Canis lupus familiaris: one gene and its partners. The protein of the gene in region 1 binds, or shares a complex with, the protein of each later gene. Links are inferred from orthologs where the notes say so. Each region holds a gene or a part of one and is shown in the gene's direction. Other genes may lie near its edges.

What was found.
Region 2: the proteins of KAT7 (region 1) and BRD1 are in contact, whole or in part, in a crystal structure (PDB 5GK9), measured with the Homo sapiens proteins. The link is inferred for Canis lupus familiaris from reciprocal best matches to the Homo sapiens genes KAT7 and BRD1. Residues at the interface, in NP_008998.1 of Homo sapiens: Leu531, Phe534, Gly536, Lys537, Glu538, Ile539, Ser540, Ile541, Lys542, Pro552, Val553, Val556, Gln560, Leu565, Tyr567, Lys571, His572, Leu573, Val574, Leu575, Lys576; in XP_047297239.1 of Homo sapiens: Val40, Ile42, Glu43, Ile44, His49, Arg50, Ile51, Ser52, Ile53, Phe54, Asp55, Pro56, Leu57, Glu58, Ile59, Ile60, Leu61.
Region 3: KAT7 (region 1) and JADE3 share a complex: the UniProt entries of both Homo sapiens proteins name them as parts of the HBO1 complex. The link is inferred for Canis lupus familiaris from reciprocal best matches to the Homo sapiens genes KAT7 and JADE3.

The regions. Positions count from the first base shown.
Region 1 is NC_049230.1:25,820,225-25,823,871, forward strand, and holds part of KAT7 (histone acetyltransferase KAT7), read left to right. Parts: intron 1-2,509; coding exon 2,510-2,656; intron 2,657-3,207; coding exon 3,208-3,314; intron 3,315-3,647. UniProt on the Homo sapiens protein: Catalytic subunit of histone acetyltransferase HBO1 complexes, which specifically mediate acetylation of histone H3 at 'Lys-14' (H3K14ac), thereby regulating various processes, such as gene transcription, protein ubiquitination, immune regulation, stem cell pluripotent and self-renewal maintenance and embryonic development.
Region 2 is NC_049231.1:18,266,993-18,270,739, forward strand, and holds the start of BRD1 (bromodomain-containing protein 1), read left to right. Parts: upstream 1-1,430; 5' UTR 1,431-1,501; coding exon 1,502-1,538; intron 1,539-3,335; exon of another isoform or gene 3,336-3,389; intron 3,390-3,747. UniProt on the Homo sapiens protein: Scaffold subunit of various histone acetyltransferase (HAT) complexes, such as the MOZ/MORF and HBO1 complexes, that acts as a regulator of hematopoiesis.
Region 3 is NC_049260.1:40,877,428-40,881,074, forward strand, and holds part of JADE3 (protein Jade-3), read left to right. Parts: intron 1-560; coding exon 561-1,031; intron 1,032-2,889; coding exon 2,890-3,007; intron 3,008-3,647. UniProt on the Homo sapiens protein: Scaffold subunit of some HBO1 complexes, which have a histone H4 acetyltransferase activity.

The DNA.
Region 1 (3,647 bases):
AAACTGCTGAGCCACCCAGAGATCCCCTCAAATTTATTTTTAATCCCCAAATCAATATTCTTTGGCACTTTTGCAGTCAATCGGTCCATTATTGCCATACTTTTCATATTTTTGTGCATATTGTTGCTGATTTTAGTTTTAAAAAAGATTTTATTTATTTGAGAGAGACACAAAGAGTGTGAGTCCAAGGGGGAGGGGAGCAAAGGGAAAGAGAGAAGCAGGCTCCTGAGTAGGAAGCCTGACCTGGGACTCAATCCCAGGACCCTGGGATCATGATCTGAGCTGAAGGTAGATGCCTAGCCTGACTGAGCCACGGAAGCATCCTTGTTGCTGACTTTTTTTTTCCCCCAAGATTTTATTCATGGGAAATGGGCGGGGGCCATAGGCAGAGGAAGAAACAGACTTCCTACAGGGAGGGAGCCTGATGTGAAACTTGATCAATCGAGGACCCTGGGATCACACCCTGAGCTGAAGGTAGATGCTCAGCCATTCAGCTGCCCAGGCACCCCCTGGTTGCTGATTTTAAATTGCCCCTAGGTGTAGGGCTGAGAAAAGCCATCTACAAAGGCTGTTGTTGAGTGCCTTACAGAGAAAACACTGGTATTAGATAGGGTTCATTCAAGCATTGGTGTTGGGCTGGAGTTTGATGCTAATGAGTCAACAATGTATTTTTTAAAACGTATTAGTAAACAAACACATAAAATGAGATGACCATAATGATGGGTTGTAAATATGACCAGAGACTTTGAGAAACCTAACCCTGTTTCCACTAGGAGCATGTTTCATGTTTGCTAATTCAGTGCTTGCAGTGACTTTGCAGAACATAACTACTATAAATGATGAGAATCAACTATATCTTATTCGTTGTTCACTGTCATACGACATTTTAGTCAGAATTACAATTCTTAGAGTTAGCCTTCCAATTGTATGTTTATACCCCCTGGGAAGTGGTGAAATCAGGAAATGGCATAATCCATGGGGGGATGGGTAACTATATCTTGTGTATTTTGGAATAGGTGTTAATACTTTTTTTATAAACTTCATTTCATGGACTTTTTCATTTCATTTCATGGACATGTTTGGGAACATTTATAAATGTTTGAAAATGTCCATAAAATGAAGGTTTTTTTAATTTTTAAAAAGATTTTATTTATTTATTCATGAGAGACACACAGAGAGAGAAGCAGAGACACAGGCAGGGTGAGAAGCAGGCTCCAAGAAGGGAGCCCGACATGGTACTTGATCCTGGGTCTCCAGGATCAGGCCCTGGGCTGAAGGTGGCGCTAAACCACTGAGCCACCTGGGCTCATATGTTTGAAAATGTCCCTAAAATAAAGCTTAAAGAAGAGCTGGATAATAAAACTCCCTGTAAGTGTGATTAGCATCTCATGGCCAGTCTTGTTACACCTCTATTCTCAAGCTCAATTACTTAGACATCTCTAAAAGATAAGCTCTATTTCATGTCTTAAAAAACCAAATTGGGCAGCCCAGGTTGGCTCAGTGGTTTAGTGCTGCCTTCAGCCAGAGGCCTGAATCCTAGAGACCCAGGGTTGAGTCCCATGTCAGGCTGCATGGAGCCTGCTTCTCCTTCTTCCTATGTCTCTGTCTCTGTCTCTCTCTCTCTGTGTCTCTAATGAATAAATAAATAAAATCTTTAAAAAAATCCAAATTCCTTAATACTTTAAGTTACAGTATTCAGATTTCCCTGATTTTGTGATTTTTATTCCTTTTAAAGAAAACACATGCAATTATTCTTTTTTTTTTTTTTTTAAGATTTTATTTATTCATGAGAGTCAGAGAGAGGGAGGCAGACATAGGCAGAGGGAGAAGCAGACTGCACGGAGCCTGATGTGGGACTCCATCCTGGGACTCCGAGATCATGCCCTGAGCCAAAGGCAGACACTCAACTGCTAAGCCACCCAAGCCTCCCCACATGCAATTATTCTTACTTAATTCCAAATGGAATTCACGTTGGAATTGATAGTTGTGAATTATAAATTACTTTTAATCTGAAAGTTCTCACTCCAACTCTTGTAATTCTAACCTATTTGTTGAAAGCAGGTTAGTTTTGCAGAGTGGATTTTTCAGATTGCATCCCCATCATGTTTAACATTCAAATGTTAGAACCAGAGGCTTTGTGAGATCCAGCATTGAGATAATAATCTATAAAAACTTAAAAGTCTCAAATAGAAAAAGCGATGTAATGAAATGGCTTCCCATTTCTATTCCTAGTTTGCACCTACAGATTACCATTGTTATTAAAGTTTCTATCTCGTGGAACCTTGCAGAGTTTTCTTAATGACTAATACAACTAAATGCAAACACACCATTCTTCCCCTGTGGTTTATCACAAGGCAGCACACTGTACAGCAGCCACCCCATATTTCATTGAATATCTGATGCCTAATTGGTACCATGAAGCAGCCTGTCCTTCTCAAGCCTTCCATGTTGACACCATGGTGTTTGTTATTAGAATGAAATACAGTGTCTGCATTTTGTTCCCCTGTAGGTTACTTGCTTTCCAAAGTGGAAGAAAAAGTTGGCTCCCCGGAGCGTCCCCTCTCTGACCTGGGGCTCATAAGCTATCGCAGTTACTGGAAAGAAGTGCTTCTCCGTTACCTGCATAATTTCCAAGGCAAAGAGATTTCTATCAAAGGTTGGTTTTTGGCTCTTTAGGATAGCTGGTACCCAAGAAGTTAATGCCAGGAAACATTCCAGTTTCTTCATTGCAAAGAGAAGGCCCCCTGGATGTGGGCCACTACAGAGATCTCATGAAAGTTGTCTAAGGATTCCAGAGCATTTGGCCCTTTGGTAATGGCTATATGATTTTGGTTTCACAAACCTGGGGTAGTTAACACTTTTGTTAAGAATTAAAGTCAAGATAAAAGAAAAATGTTCCCTTTTTTCTAAGTCTTGGCTAACAGAGGAGCTGGTATGACATCTGTATGTTTATGGAAGGGTAGAAGAAATCAGGTCTGTCCTGTCTCTGACCATGATCTCTAGGGGCCAGGGTGATTTCTTCCTGTAGTAGTTCTCTTTCATAGTTATTAGGACCGATCAAATAAATGCTTCATAAACTTTTTCTGAACAAGTTGGGTTGAGTATCAGAAATCCCAACCATCTGGGTTTCCTTTAAAGCAGGGTGGGGGGCTGGTGGGGGTGGGTGTCTGCACTTTGGCCCAGTTCTTAGGAGTGCTTCTATTTCAGAAATTAGCCAGGAGACAGCTGTGAATCCTGTGGACATTGTCAGTACTCTGCAAGCCCTTCAGATGCTCAAGTACTGGAAAGGAAAACATCTAGTTCTAAAGAGACAGGTAAAGTTTTGGTCAGCTGCTGGCTCAGTGCTGAATGTCTCTTGAGGCTTAGCAGAGTAAATGGGGCTTTAACACCTGAAAGGTGTAGCCTTCACTCCTTTTTTAAGATTTTATTTATTTATGAGAGACACACAGGGGACGGAGGGAAGGGGCAGAGAACACAGGCAGAGGGAGAAGCAGGCTCCACGCAAGGAGCCCAATGTGGAACTCGATCCCGGGTCTCCAGGATCACACCCTGGGCCCGAAGGCAGTGCTAAACTACTGAGCCACCCGGGCTTCCCAATAGCCTTTACTCCTTAAAGGAGTTTGCCTACATGTATCTTTTACTGGGTC
Region 2 (3,747 bases), on another chromosome or scaffold:
ATAGCACGTTCCTTCCTCTTAAAATGTGGCTTTGACACTCCACCGAGGGCAGAGGGCACTGTCTCATCTCTGGAATCTGGACAGGCTCGGGCCCAAGGGACACTAGGTGACTTCTGGCTACTATGGGAGAAGTGATACAGGTCCCTCCTGGTTCTCTCGGGACTCGGGACACGGTCCCACTCCGTCCCCAGCTGGAACCGGCCTACCGGCCACCCGAGTGCACCACCTTGGAGTGCGCCCTCCAGCCCGCATAGGGACATCCCAGGGGCTGCAGCGGGGACTAGACAGGCCGCACCTGCTGAACCCTGCCTATGGTTTCCTTCTGCACACGGCAGCTCCGTGTGCAGAAGGAACAATTATCATTTTGAGCGACAGTCTTGCAGCTGGTTTGTTAGGCGGGAACACGTAACCGGTACCACATGCAGCTTTGTTGGGTCGTGTCTTGTTATTTACCGACACAGTTGTGCCATGTACACAGCGTGCGCGTATCTCAGTTGATCCACCTTCCCGTCATCACTGGGTTGGACTTTCACATTTGTGCTCATTTGGTGTGATTTGTTTGCATCCCCAAAATTACAAATGCGGTTACTGGCCCTTTCATGTTCTTCCCCTCAAGGAGACTGGTTATGGATTTTGTGTGTCATTCTATTGGCTTTTTTTTTTTCTGATGGATTTGAAAGGATTCTGGACACTAATCATTTGCAAGGTATACCTGTTCGACTATTTTCCGGTTTTTAATTTTTTGTCCATTCTCTTTACAGTCTACCGAAGAATGAAAGTTGTATGGTACACACTTTGTCCATCCTTTTATTTTCAATCTCTCTGTGACATTTTTAGACTATTTTTTTTTTGTAAATAGTACCTAATGATATATGTCTGAGAGTCTCTATCTTTTAATGGATTAATTTAGTCATGTTTGTGATTCCTGGAATACTTGAATTTCTTCCTGTCATTTTATATCATATTCCTTACTTACCAAGCATTTATCTTTTTCTGCTTTTTGTTGCTACCGCCAATCTTTCTTCATTTCAGTTTCCCAACTTCTTTCTACCAACTCTGAAGTCCTCCAACAATACGAGAACTTGCGCTGTCATCGCCCCTCACCGTATGCTGTGTGGGGCTCAGCTGGGATTTTCTCTCAAGTTGTTATTTGATTTTCTCTGCTGGCATCCATGTCTTACTCTTGGACATACTCTTCATTTTGCTGGAGTCTATCTTCCAGCATTTTTTTTTTTTAGAGACTTTGTGCGTAACTTGGTAAACTTGGATGTTTACTGACTGTGGAGACACCCTTATTTTGCTGTCTCACCAACGAGTTTCGTCATACAGGGAATTCTCGGTTCAATTCTTAGAATTTTGACAACCGCTTCCTTGCCGAGTGGCAATCAGGCTCAGTGTGACCAAACAATATCCTTCTCCTTGGAAGCTTTTGGAGGTGGTCTCTTTATCCCTGGAATTTGGGAACGTCACTCTGACATGAATTTGTTCTTCTCTCCCGGGCATGCCTTGCCACCTGGGAAGCCATTCTCCGTCTCCAGGTGTGTGAAGAGGCTTCCTGGTTCTCATCTCCTCCTACTCGGGCTCTGGGTTGTAACCTGCTGGGGCGGGTGGGTGTGCCCCTGGCTGGCCCAAGGTCGAGGACACAGGGCTGCGCCTGGCTCCGTCGTCCTCCACCCCTGGGCGTCCTGGCAAGTCTGGCGTCAGATCAGCAGGCCTCTGTAAAGCAGGGGGGCACCTGCAGCTCCTGGCGCTGGTCCCCACATGCTTGGTGCCCCAGCACCTGGCCAGCCCTGCCCTGGCCCAACGATGTATCTGCAGGGGCAGCAGCTTCGAGGGGAGCCTTGGCTGCCACCCTCGCCCACCCTCCAAGCCTTCACTTCTCATCCATCGGCTGGGTGCCGTGAGGCACAAGCGCCGTGGGCAGAGGGCTGGGGGGGCTCCCACCCGGGACACTCCAAGGGAGGCCTCCGCAGCACGGTCCCAGGCGGTGGACTCGGCTCTGCGTGCCCTGGTGAGGAGATGTCTCCCTGGGAGAACCCGGGGCGGAGGCGAGGGGCGGCTCCTGCAGCCGGGGGCCCCAGCCGTCCTCATGGACACCGAGCCCGCGAAGCCTCCGGAAACCAGGGGACCAGCTCGGCTCCGCCCTAGACGCCCCGGAGTCACCTGCCCCGCGGCGCCTCCAGTCTGTGGCCTTGGTCCCCTGCCCTGTGTCCTGTCCCCTGCGGTTAGACCCCCTCCCGCTGGCGCCCCTCGGTCCTTGCCCTCTCTGGCCCCGCCCAGGGACCCCGGCCTCAGTCCGGTCACCCCTCCCTCCTCCCTGGTGCCCCCTACGGTCACGTCCTCCCCTCCAGGCTCCTGGCTCCACTCCGCCCCCAGGGTCCAGGCCCCTCCTCAGGGTCCCGTCCTCCCCCTCATCCAGGCCAGCCGCCCCCTCCCTGCCTGGCCCAGGGTCCCGTTCCTCCCTCAGGCCCCTACCTCCCCCCTCCGTGTCCTCTCCCTTGGCCCCCCTCAGCCCAGGGGTCCAGTCCTGCCCCCTCCGTCCCTTCGTCCCTCCGCCCCCTCCCCCTCTGTCCCCTGGCCCTCCCGTCCCCCTCCGTCCCCCTCCTCCCCTTTCCCCTCCCCCCCTTCCCCCTCCATCCCCCCCTTCCCCGCCACTCCGCCCCCCGCGTCCCGGTCTTGTTTCCCTCCCTCCGTCCCCCCACTGCGACCCCTGGTCCCTCCCCGTCCGTCACCCCCCTCCTCCGGCCCCCCTCCCCCTCCCCTCCGTCCCCCCTCCAGCCACGTTTCCCTCCATCCTCCCCGTCCCCTCTGTCCGCTCTGCCCAGGTCCTGTCCCTCTCCCGCCTCCGTCCCCTGGCCCCTCCCCTCCCCCCCCCCCCCCCCCCCCCCCCCCCCCCCCTCCTCTGCCGTCCTTCCGTCTCCCTCCGTCCCCGGCCCCTCCCTCCCCCCCCCCCCCCGCCCTTCCGTCGCGGGCTCCTCCCCTCCTCCCCTCCCCTCCGGTTCTCCCGCTCCCCCTCCCCCTCCCCCCCCGCCCCTCCGTCCCCGGCTCCGCCCCCCGCCCCGCCCCTCCCCGGCGGCGTGCGTCACGGCGGCGGCGGGCGGGGCGCGTCCGTCACGCAGGGCGCCGGGCGGAGCGCTCGCCGCATTGTTTGCTTCGCTGGGGAGCGAGCGCCGCGCCGGCCCGGGCGTCCGACCCCCGCGCCCCCGCCCGCCCGCGCCCGCCGCCCGCGCCCCCCGCCCCGCCCGCCCCGGCGGCCGCCCCCGCACCCCGCGCCCGGAGAGCGGCCCGGGCCTGCGCGGCCGTTGGCGGGGGAGCCGCGGGCGCCATTAGCGCCGCCTGGGCCGCGCCGGCCTCCGCGCCCCCCGGGCTCCCGCGCCGCGGCCCCGACGGTGAGTGGGCGGGGGGGCGGCGGGCCGGGCCGGGCCGGGCGGGGGCCGGGGGGGCCGGCGCCATGTTGGCGGCCGCGGCGGGAGGCGCATTGTCCGCGGGCGGCGGGGCGGGCGGGCGGGCGGGCGGCCCGGGGCGGCGGGGGGGGCCGGGGCCGGGGCCGGGCGGGGACCGGGGATCGGGGCGGGGGCGGGGGCGGGGCCCGGGGGGCCCGGGGAGGCCGCGGAGCGGGCGGCCGCGGAGCCGAGCGGGTCGTTATGTAACAGGCCGCGCGTCTGCTTGGCCGCCCGGGAAGCTGCCCGCGCCCGGCGTCCCCGCGGCGGCAGGTGGGCGGCCCGCGGTGCTCGGCCCCCGCCCCCT
Region 3 (3,647 bases), on another chromosome or scaffold:
TGTGGCCTTTTTAGAACCACTAGATGCTCTGGCAATAATATTGACTTTGTTGGGTTTTTTGTTTATTTAGAAGCATTTTTTTAAAAAAGCATTTCTTGAGCATCTGCTTATTCAAAAGTTGATGCCAATGCAAATTTGAATGACACAGCTTCTGTCTTTAAGAGCTCTAGCCAGGGATTTGACATTTACTATACTGTTAAGTACAGTGTGAAAAGTACCACTATAGAAGCATATAATAAGGTGATGTGGGGGACACAAGGTATAGCATGACTCTTCACAAAGGGCAGGGAAGATTTCCCAGAAAAACTTAATGCTTGAGCTAAAATCTTAAAGAAGTTTGAAATATATATATATATTTTTTGCCTCTGTTCTTTCTGTGTTCTATACAAACAGATTTCTGGGTTATTTGTAAAGTATCTGTTGTCATTTTAGGGCCAGTTTTCTCCCTGGCTTTCCTTTGCTTCCTGTGACCTCTCAATTTAAGCCCAGGGATATAAGGTTTCCCTCCTCCTCCCCACCCTCCAGCCCTGCTGCCTTTAACACCTCTTTTCTTCCTACAGTGCTCTGTGAAAAGCTGCATCACTGCCTTCCATGTCACCTGTGCCTTTGAGCACAGCCTAGAGATGAAGACCATCCTAGATGAGGGAGATGAAGTGAAGTTCAAGTCATACTGCCTCAAGCACAGCCAAAATAGGCAGAAACTCGGGGAGGCTGAGTACCCCCTACACAGGGCCGCAGAGCAGAGTCAGGCCAAAAATGAGAAAACCAGCCTGCGGGCACAGAAGCTTCGGGAGCTGGAGGAGGAGTTCTATTCCCTGGTCCGCGTTGAAGATGTGGCTGCAGAGCTGGGGCTGCCAACACTAGCCGTGGACTTTATCTATAACTACTGGAAACTGAAGCGGAAAAGTAACTTCAACAAGCCATTATTTCCTCCAAAGCAGGATGAAGAAAATGGCCTGGTGCAGCCAAAAGAAGAGAGTATTCACACTCGCATGAGAATGTTTATGCATCTACGGCAAGACCTAGAGAGGGTAAGGTGATCAGCTCTGGCTACTGTTTAGGTCTAGGTCTGCATAAAAATGGAGGCCCTGCTTCCAGTTTGTCATTTTCTAAAGGTCAGCTCATTTATACTGTGGGCTTCTGTGTCCTTACTTATCTTCTGATTACACCGTGGCCCCAAACGTTAGACTCTGTTTACATTTTTGGCAGGCACTTTCTGTCTTTTTTTTTTAAGATTTTATTTATTTATTCATGAGAGACACAGAAAGAGAGAGGCAGAGACACAGGCAGAGGGAAAAGCAGGCTCCATGCAGGAAACCTGATGTGGGACTTGATCCTGGAACTCCGGGATCACACCCCGAGCTGAAGGCAGATGCCCAACCCCTGAGCCACCCAGGCAAACTTTGCCAGGCACTTTCAAGGGACTTGGAGGGCCCTCGTTTATATGCTATATGAGCCTTAAATCTGAAAGAAATTTTCATTTGGCTTACTTTTTATTCACCGTTGAGCCTAAATTGGCTCAGCTATATTTTACTGACACATAAGACTATGGGCTGAAGAAAGAATGAATTTCATTGAGGAAAGAACTAGATCAGAGTTTCTTAAACTTGGCACTGCTGACATTCTGGCTGGATAGTTCTTTGTTGTAGGGGACTGTCCTTTGTTGTGGGGGATACTGTTAGATGCTTAGCAGCATCCCTGGCCTCTACCCAATAGCAAATACCCACACACACACATACAACATACCCACTGTGACAACCAAAAATGGTTCCACATTACCAAATGCCTCCTGGGAGGTCAAAATCGCCTCTGGTTAAAAGACTCTACACCAGATAAGTCCGTTTAACTCACTTATTTAAAGATAAGTTAGGCCCTGTGTTTACCCTAGATAATTTTATAATCAAGTATAATTATAGAGATGGCTTGTTTTTCTCTCTGCTACCAGAATTTGGAAGGGAATAGATTTGGCTCACTTTGTAAAATTTAACTCACACATCTATAGCACTTACTATGTGGCAGCACTGTTCTAAGCATTTCATAAATATTCACTCATTTAATCCTAACATGTCTGTGAAGAAAGTACTATTGTTTAGCCCTTTTTACAGAGCAATAAACTGGGGCACAGAAAGGTGGGGTGATTTGTCGAGGTGGGATGGGGAGTATGGGAGCATGAGGATTGCACCCTTGTGGCTGAGATTTGGCCAAGCTAGAGGTGTAAACAAAAAAGCCACTTTCAGTCTTTCCAGCAGACTTTTATCCTGCTGGTCCAGTACTCATTAGAAAATTGTACTGGGGGGATCCCTGGGTGGCTCAGCGGTTTAGCGCCTGCCTTTGGCCCAGGGTGCAATCCTGGAGTCCCGGGATCGAGTCCCACGTCAGGCTCCCTGCATGGAGCCTGCTTCTCCCTCTGCCTGTGTTTCCACCTCTCTCTCTCTCTCTCTCTCTCTCTCTCTCTCTCTCTGTACTCTCATAAATAAATAAATAAAATATTTAAAATAAAAAAAGAAAATTATACTGGATCCAGCATCCCCATTGTTTTATACAGGGATCTAAAGGGAAGGCCACAGTGTTAAACCATCACTCGGTCTTCCTCAGTTGGCTGTGCAGATAAACATTGAGCGCATCACACTGCAGGGAGAGTAGGTTTCAGGGAGTGGCTTAGGAGCGTTTTGCTTGTGCTGCTGATTGATATGGGAACCATGATCCCACGACTGATCGTGCTACATGAATTCCTTTACAGTGGCTCTGTCTTTTGTGTTCTGTCTTCTCTCTTCAGCCACCCCTGTACCTCACTTAATTTTAGTTGTCTTAATTTTAGCTAAAAAATTTCAATTGTCAGGTTTCTGTAACATGGCAAAAATCTCTATTTGCTGTATGTTGGGCTTTCAGGTCCGAAATCTGTGTTACATGATAAGCAGACGAGAGAAACTGAAATTATCACAAAACAAACTACAGGAACAGATCTTCGGTTTGCAAGTCCAGCTTGCTAACCAGGAAATGGCTGCAGGTAACTTTATATTAAAGATGTCCTAATATAGACTGGTTATATCCTATTTTAACAATTTTAATTTTATGGCAGTTGTTTTACTTAAAAATCTTGTAACATTCTTGTCAAATATCTCATTTGCTCAAGTCCAACCCTGATACAACATGGCCCATTTCAGTGTTGACTCATGAGGCAAGAAATCCCAAGGTAGAGTTGGGGGACTTGCAGGTGTAGGGCAGATAATCTAGGTGTCAGACAGATATTAAGGGCCATTAGTGAAAACCATGAAATTATTCCGTAATCATCAAATTCATTTAGAAATCAGTAGGATAAGACCTAATCCTAGTTTCCAGAAAACGTTTAATTCCAAGGTTAAACAAACCCTTAGCCAATAGTTAGGAGATATAGGTTCTGTCTCTTTACTAATATTTGTTGAAGACCTACTGTGGACTAAGAAGCGAGCTAGGAAGTAGAGCAGTCAGCAAGACAAAATCCCTGCCTATAAGGTGTGCTGCCCACTTGGTGAGAGAGACAGGTGAGCATAATTACAGTGCCCTAAACATGGAGAGCTTGGCTGCAATGACAGTCGTATTCAGTGACATTTGTAACCTCCCTGTACCTCATTTAACACAGAGGTTGGTGGCAAAGCCTGGGCAACCAG